Danio rerio: one gene and its partner. The protein of the gene in region 2 interacts with the protein of the main gene of each other region in a pairwise test. Links are inferred from orthologs where the notes say so. Each region holds a gene or a part of one and is shown on either strand. Other genes may lie near its edges. The genes, in order: lmo1 and ptpn3.

What was found.
Region 1: the proteins of ptpn3 (region 2) and lmo1 interact in binary tests that used the Homo sapiens proteins (3 or more experiments, as listed by UniProt). The two-hybrid records come from large-scale screens. The link is inferred for Danio rerio from reciprocal best matches to the Homo sapiens genes PTPN3 and LMO1.

What each region holds. Positions count from the first base shown.
Region 1 is NC_133182.1:28,180,231-28,184,161, forward strand, and holds the start of lmo1 (rhombotin-1), read right to left. Parts: upstream 2,512-3,931; 5' UTR 1,946-2,511; coding exon 1,924-1,945; exon of another isoform or gene 1,576-1,923; coding exon of another isoform or gene 1,542-1,575; intron 1-1,541. UniProt on the Homo sapiens protein: May be involved in gene regulation within neural lineage cells potentially by direct DNA binding or by binding to other transcription factors.
Region 2 is NC_133191.1:29,669,165-29,673,095, reverse strand, and holds the start of ptpn3 (tyrosine-protein phosphatase non-receptor type 3), read right to left. Parts: upstream 2,797-3,931; 5' UTR 2,698-2,796; intron 1-2,697.

The DNA of each region.
Region 1 (3,931 bases), on a different chromosome or scaffold from region 2:
ATAGTATACAGCGATTTGAATGACCTCATATTTCACATAGGAAACTGTACATATTTTAAGACTTCCTAATAGAGCCTCCCAACAGCTTAGGGTGAATTTGTGGATGGAAAACTAAAGCAAAACTGCTTCGTATCACACTTTTTGGAGGATGTTGAGGAAAAGGTAACTAGATAAGTCTTCTGTTGCAGGATGCAGTTATTTCAAAGACTCGCATTGACAGCCTTTAAAAGTTCAGTTATTGAAAACCAAACACATACATATCTTCTGTAGTTTACAAAATCATTATAAATACAACATTATGACTTATTTTTTGTATTAAATCTGCAGAATCACAGTGTAAGTTAATACGTACTGAGGACCTGTTCATGTTCACAGACAACATGAAAGTCGTGCTTATGGTTATTCTTTCACAAGGGTTTCACAATTCATTGAATTCCTCCCTCACTTTTAATATAGTACAAGATGTACTGAACTGAGAATACTGTACCTCTGATATATTTAGAGCACAGCCTTATATTAGGATCAGACTTATCTGTTCAGTTCCTGTGTTAGTTAAAAGTGTGTGTGCATCTGTGTTGGTATATGCGTGTATGAGAGAGAGGGAGAGAGAAAGAGAGAGAGAGAAAGCAGATCCAAGCTGCTTCCCCATCCCTGCCAAAATGCCAGCGCAGTTGGTCGGCACCAGCACGCAAAGGGTGAAGCTTTTAGGCAATGAGCAGCAGGTGATCTAAGCTTTTCTGTAAGTCCTAATGCTCCTAAAAGCCACTCTCCCTGCTTCTGTAATTGGGCATCAGTAGTTAATGTAGTATTGACTGCATTACATGCTCCTGTGCATCCTCTCCTACTAATGCCATTTGCATCACCTTGTACATTTACCATATTGCTTAGCCAATAGCTGTTAAAAGCAATCTGAATCATGAATCATATGGGGAACTTTTAGCAAGACAGACATCCAAAGGAGACAATTTACAGTTGAGTTAATCTGGGTACATTAGCGCAACATGGATTGAGCGAGACAGACCAATTTATGTTTCTACGGCAATCTCTTTATTGGTTTTTAGATGGGTTAGTGAAAGGATGGTTGGCTCAAAGAGATATGAAATATCCATTTTCAAACATAAATATGGGTCTGAAATGCAAGCCGTTAGTTTGGGGGGGAAAGGGCCCCTGGCTAAAACTAAAGGTGTGTGTGATGACAGTATTCCCAGAAACATGACAAGAAAGGCATTTTAGGTCAAAGACGCTTTAAAGGGATTATTTCCCATTTCAACACAGTTTAAAAACGTATTAGAATACAAAAAAAAAAAAAAAACGGGATTCAGCTTCACCACAAACTTGTCAGCACCACAACCTCCAAAAGAAAAGTTTATAAACGGTTTCCATAGGAACCAGCCAGCAGCGTAAATACAGAGAAGTGCATTGCTCATATGGCTATAAAACGCTGACATGTTTACAAACGCAATACACTGCTATCCAATTGGTGATGTATAAATGTTGTCGTTTACATCTTTCAGTAAAGGTTAAGGTTCAAATGCTCTCACCTGTGAGCGAAGACACCCGCTGTTGATAAAACATCTCCGTAACTTCACAGATTTGCACGAGCTCTAACTAACACTGCGGTGAATGCGGACGCTACGTCTTTCTAACAGATTATCAATATTCATATACAAATGGACAGTGAGAGAAGTACACCGTATTCGGCATGTCTCTCCCGACTCAAAGTGTTTCAGAGTCGCGTTCGCGCTCTCTCCCTCATGTAAACCTGGCGAACGTACGTGTCCGTTTGATATGACAAACGAACTGGAGCATGAAAGTGCCGTTCAGAGGGAAAATGGACGCTAAATGCTGCGTTTCCTTACTGTCCCGCGTTCTTCATAGTCATGCGGAGCAAATGAATGCACTAACAATCATCCGTGCACTTACCCTCTTCCTTGTCTAACACCATCGTCCTGAGGAGCGAGGAGTCCGGCTCCAGGCGATCCGCTCTCGGCTCCAGCACACTTCTGCGCGCGCCGCTCGCGTCTCTGAGAAGAAATTGCTTTGCAACAACAAAATAATAATCGTCCGCGTTGCTGCCACAAGCTTTAACTATACAGGCTCGTCTGTGTTGGTTTTCCGCTGTTCAGAGACAGAATGCCATGTAGAGAAGCATATGCGTCGGTTATTCTATTGTTTAATGTATTTCGGAGATTACATGCAGCGATGTCCCCCTAGTCGCGTTCGCGTGCGCAGCGCGTCAGTATAATATCCACGCTTGCAATTAACGATGTCTAAAACTAAAGTGAGACGCCACGGTGCATTCCATTCGAAAATGAAACGACTGCACTAACTCAAATCTAATTTAAACTCCCGTTTAAATTGAGCTGCCGCGAAGAAGCTATTCTCGGAGTAGAAACGTGTTCCTCCCAGTTCTCATTTGCTCCGAAACTGTAACTATATTCAAGAAATCCAATTCTGAGGCTGACAACTCCTAACAGCATGCTCACGCTGCCTCTCTCACCCAATTTATGCGCTCCGCGCGCTCCTGCTACTGAATAAATGCGCGCGCTTCCCAGAGAGCCACGGATTCCCCTGTTAATTAAATCAATTCATTATGCTCAGATCTGATTAGCAGCCCTTCCCCCCTCTTTGAATCAATTATTCAATACACAAACATAATTGCTTGTGCCAGAGGTGTCTAAGTATTAGCTTATTTAACTCCAAGGACACTAATTACCCCTAGGGCAAGGGAACTTTTCTCATTAATTCTGACAAAACACAAAAGCACAGCTAAGGGAAAGTGTGTGTGTGTCTAACAGAGTGTGTGTGAGTGTTTTTGTGAAGTGCTCACAGGGGATGTGTGTGTGTACGTGTGTTCTTGTGTGATTGTGATGTGTGTTATAAATAGAGAAAAGAGGGTTTGAGCTTTTAAAAAGCGTTTTAAGCAGTTCTCATGATCTAATTTCTTCTCGTTCTTCGCTCTTGTCATTATAATAATACTCCTAGATATGTATGATAGGCTAGACGACTCACTTTCCATATTCAGATAAACAGTCATTTTGAGAGCCACAACACAACAGATGGGCTGTGTTTTGATTAGTGGTGAGATAGGAGAGCACGTTTGGCTCTGGTAATATAATTGTTAGCTGTTACTTTGCTGATACAAGTATTGCTGTTTCATGGTGGGCAATTGATGGGCTTTCACCTGCCCTGCGGAGACTCTTATCCAATCAAGGCAGAGATCCACCCCAGATTAACCATTAGCAGAGATGCAGAGGTTACAAGTGCTCTGTTTGTCCATAAGTGATCTGGCATACTAGTTTTTCATTTGCTTTTATTGTACATCACTGTCAAGGTAGAGATGAAAATGTGCCTTGTTTCATGTCTCTGAGATCTGGAACTCCTCGAAGCAGGTGATGAATAGACATAAATTATGAAACTGTAATTCATATCTGCTCATAAGACATTAGGGTGCAAATCTGCCATGCCCCTAGACATTCATTTGTAGTTTAATTTGAACTATAGACTGTAGTAACCTTAGCAGATTGGGATATTGCCCTGCCCCTAAAATCCATTGTTGGAGCCTTTGCTCTCTTCTTCTCTTGCTTGACATGTCTGACTTTTCATTTCAGCAGTGTGATAGATGGATGACTTTTGACCACAAATGTATGTCTGCTGACCTCTTGTGAAGTGAATGACACCCAATTAATCCAATCACAACAAACTGAGGGAACAAGGAAAGCGTGGCCCATTGTAGTTGAATGCTGGACTGCACAAGGCCCCCTGACAGTTAAATGGAGAAACAATAACAAATAATAAGAGAAGCCACATGCTGTTAGAACACTACTTACAAAAAATAAAAAAATAAAAAAAAAATCTTGATATTTAATGATATCCTTGTAACACAGGGTTTTTTGTATTTACTATAATAATAACAGTAAATAAATGCCTA
Region 2 (3,931 bases):
TTAAGATTCGTTCAGAAAAACAAAAGACCAGCGAAGAAACTCAACAGAGAGGAACATAAAAACCTCACTGCCAGCTAGGATTTCGGAACTGTTATTGCAGAGCAACACAAACAGCATGCAGAAGTATAAATGCATGTCAACGCACAAGGCATGTGCTGTGGGTCATGCCGATCACTCGACGCAGAAGTATAAACCCGGCTTTACAGTATAGTGTTACTATACTGGGGCATTAGGATCCCTACAGACTACAGGGTAAGCACCCCCAGCTGACCTCTATAACACCTCTTCCAGCAGCAACCAATACTGTATTGCCCCTCGTACCATCATTCACTATATCCTACATTAGTCCACTAATATAGTTCACTTGAAGTAGTGAATGAAACTAGTAAGTGAATTCAAGCACCAAAAGGGATGCCATTTTGTTTGTGCTTTGCTGTTTGACCAGGTGCAGCCCTGCTTGGCTTCAGTGGGCTACCATGTGAGAGCTGAGAAAGCTAGCAGCTGGCAGCTATCTATACTCGAATCAGTGGGTAGAGCCTAGACAGGCAGTGATGTAAAAGCAGGCATTGATGACCTTTTGAGAAGGCGGAGTTTAGACACACTATTACATTATGTCATGTTGGCTGTGAGTGGCTTCTGCATAAGCTGTATTATACGAAGAAACTTGATTAAAGTGATACACTGTAGTTATAGTATAGTCTTTAATAATTTCAATAATACTTGTATATTCGGGAATGGATGTACTATGAACATTATATCGTAGCTAATACAACCTGTATATAATGTTTATAGTACAGTACATCCATCTGTAAATATTACCCATAGTTTTTAATATTTGTTATTATAACTTATACCTATACCCTACACTTGCTGCTCGTGCACTCCTGGTTAGACCTAAACTGCATTAATAATTCCGTTAAAAGTGTGATGAACTGAGAAATAAATTCACTTGATCTTTTGACATGTAAGAGGTCACTGCACTATGAACAAATATACTGTAAGTTATAGAATGCAAAGTATTTTTATGTGTCTAAATGAATTCTGTGTCCGCACATTAGTCTGTGCTGTCACTGTTTTGTAGTGTCATTTTTTAAATAAATATGCATAAATCAAGTTTTTCACACAAAAACTGTTTTCTGTCTAAGATATAGTCTACAGTTTTTGTAAATATGTACAGTAATAATAATATAGGACAAGTGTGTCAAATGTTTGCACTATTGCCAATTATAAGGCTGCACTGTGATAATTAAAAAAATACATAATGCCTCATATACTAGAGACAGACTAAATGATATCTGCTCTAATTAAATTGCGCTACCTCATCCCTAGTGTGTATTGTATAGTGTACAGTTGTAATTTTGGTGTACATGCATTTATGACACCTTCTTATGGGGTAGTTCACCCAAAAACTAAATATTACTGATTACTTGGTGACCCTCAATTGGTTATAAAGCTTTGTTAGTTACTTTATGTTGTTAAACACAAAGATATGCTGGAAAAAAAGCTGAAGAGCTGTAAAAAGTAGTAAAAACAAATAGATGTCAATAGTTACATTTTTTCAGCTTTCTTCAAAATATCTTCTTTTCTGTTTAACAGAAGAAGTCGAACAGGTTTTGAACAAGCATGAGGATGAGTAAATAACAGAATTTTCACTTTTGGGTGATCTATCTCTGCAAACACTGTGTAAATGCCACCTCAGATACACTTCTGTGCCACCTTTAAAGTGCAAATTTGACATTAGACAAGTAAACATGAACGTGAACTGGTGATGTGACAATACTTTATAATTTGGGAGAGACAAAAGACACATGACATAAATCAGAATTTGAGACAGAAATCCATCATATGGACACACTAAGTTATTTGACATAAGATTTTTAACAGCCTGTAGTTACTTCAGATTAAGCTACATTAAATACCTCTTGTTCTTTCAGACTTAACCTCACAGATCCAGTTTGTGGACGCTCTCTGTGACTGTTTGCAAATGCAGAAGTCTCACTGATCTGTCTTTGTATACAATGTTTCCCTTTTTGACCATATAAAACGCATAGTTGCAGTCTGAAGTGGGTGTTTTACTTTCGCTCACGGTTAGAGCAGCTCTGACGTTTACACTGGAGGTTAATATTTACCAGCAGCTCGGTTGCAAAAGCACTACTTTACACGCTCGACTTCACTTTTAAGCGACGCGATATTTACGGCTTAGGACATGTAATTACTTGAACCATCCTAAAAAACAAAGAGCCTTTGACTCAAACTACTGTAATATTATGAGTTTGAAACAAAAAAGTAACACAGGACGGTTTAACAGGAGAAAACAGTTTAAAGTTTCTGTATGAGGGCTTTTCTGGGTGTGACGTCTTGCATTTCTGACTCAAGTTCACGCTGGTCTGCTCAGGCTTTAGGTTCGGGCTCTGTCACAAATCTGAACCGAAGTGTCACCAAACCGAGCGGGGTGAACGACAGGACAGTTCTTCTGCTCCAGCGTTTATGACCTCAACATATTTCGAGATCATATTTCGCATGGAAAGAAACAAATCCAGGAGCTTTATCGCGATATTTCCCATAAACAGTCTAGGAGTGAACCGATTTGTTGTTCTTAAAGCCAAATATACGTCGTTTGACAATGTTCTTCTTTAGCCCACAAAGTTGGAGTTCATGCAGGGACATTCATACATCAGAAAAGCGTCAGAAAGTTACCTGCTCGAGCTGTTCCCAATATTTCTGCAGTGTTAGAAGTTCTTACAATCCCCGAGATGAGAGAAAAGTTTCCATGTTAAGGCGATCATGGTCGCAGGTGTCGGTAAACTTCCGGAATATGTTATTTTTCTCTCTCTTGGTTCCTTCGGGAGGGCAATAACGGCGTCACTGCGCTGACCACGAGTGCAGGATCTATTGTGATCATGTAGCAATAGTTTTGTTTTTATGCTCCCCTTCCCACTGCTGGGGTGGTTGCAACACACATTTTACAGATTTCATGATGTGAATGTGATTGTCAGACCTAGCCTGATTTCAAGGCGTGATTCATGTTAAGCCAGAACTCTCAGGAATTTCACGAGCTCGCGCAATTTCAGGTGCGCGTCCCCGCCGGTTTAGGGCGCTGCCTCTTTGAGTCAGTAAGCACACCTGGGTGTAGAGCTTGCTCTAAAATTCTTCTGGTTTTCATTCTGGTTTCCCAGCTTAGTCTTAGTTTTTAACACTTACTATCAATACTATCTGATCAGAGTAAGAGACCAAAATGCGACCATTAACAATGATAATAAAATAAATCCTTAACCACCATATTCTTATTTTTCTTTCGTAAAAACATTAGAATATGGCATATTCCTTATAAATGTGACATCTATGCTCTTAAGACAAAACATAAGAATTAAAATCTGTTTCGGAACTTCTTTTAACTTGCCTTAAAACATCAAATGTAATCATTTTGTGGGTTAGCCAATTTTTTAAATATTCAGCATAACTGACCACTAGCTTGTGTTTTAGTAATCATACTAACTACTTTATCAGTGCCTTGCTGGGTTGCCTTTGTTTACACTCAGTCATGCACTCACTCCTTTTCTTATTTCCTTCTTAATAACAGGTCATCACAGCGAAACGAAATGTCAGTTACTCTTTGTTTGCCAGTGGATGCCTTTCCAGCCGCAACTCAAAATTGAGACATGTTTGTGGTAAATTCACAGCTTCAAATTTATGATGTGAATCTACCATTACAGCAAAGATGTTCTAGATCTGGTGATTATTTAAGCAATTTGAGTATAGTGAATACTATATAGTGTTGTGTTCAAGAAATTATTTTAAGAAACCAGCTTAAGATGATTTAAGATTGATAAAAACATGGGGATAATCAGCAACAATAGGCTGTGGTATTCAGCTAAGGGGTCAAAGTAAGTCAAGAAAATATGCTGAATTACATCATTATTGTCTTAGCTGA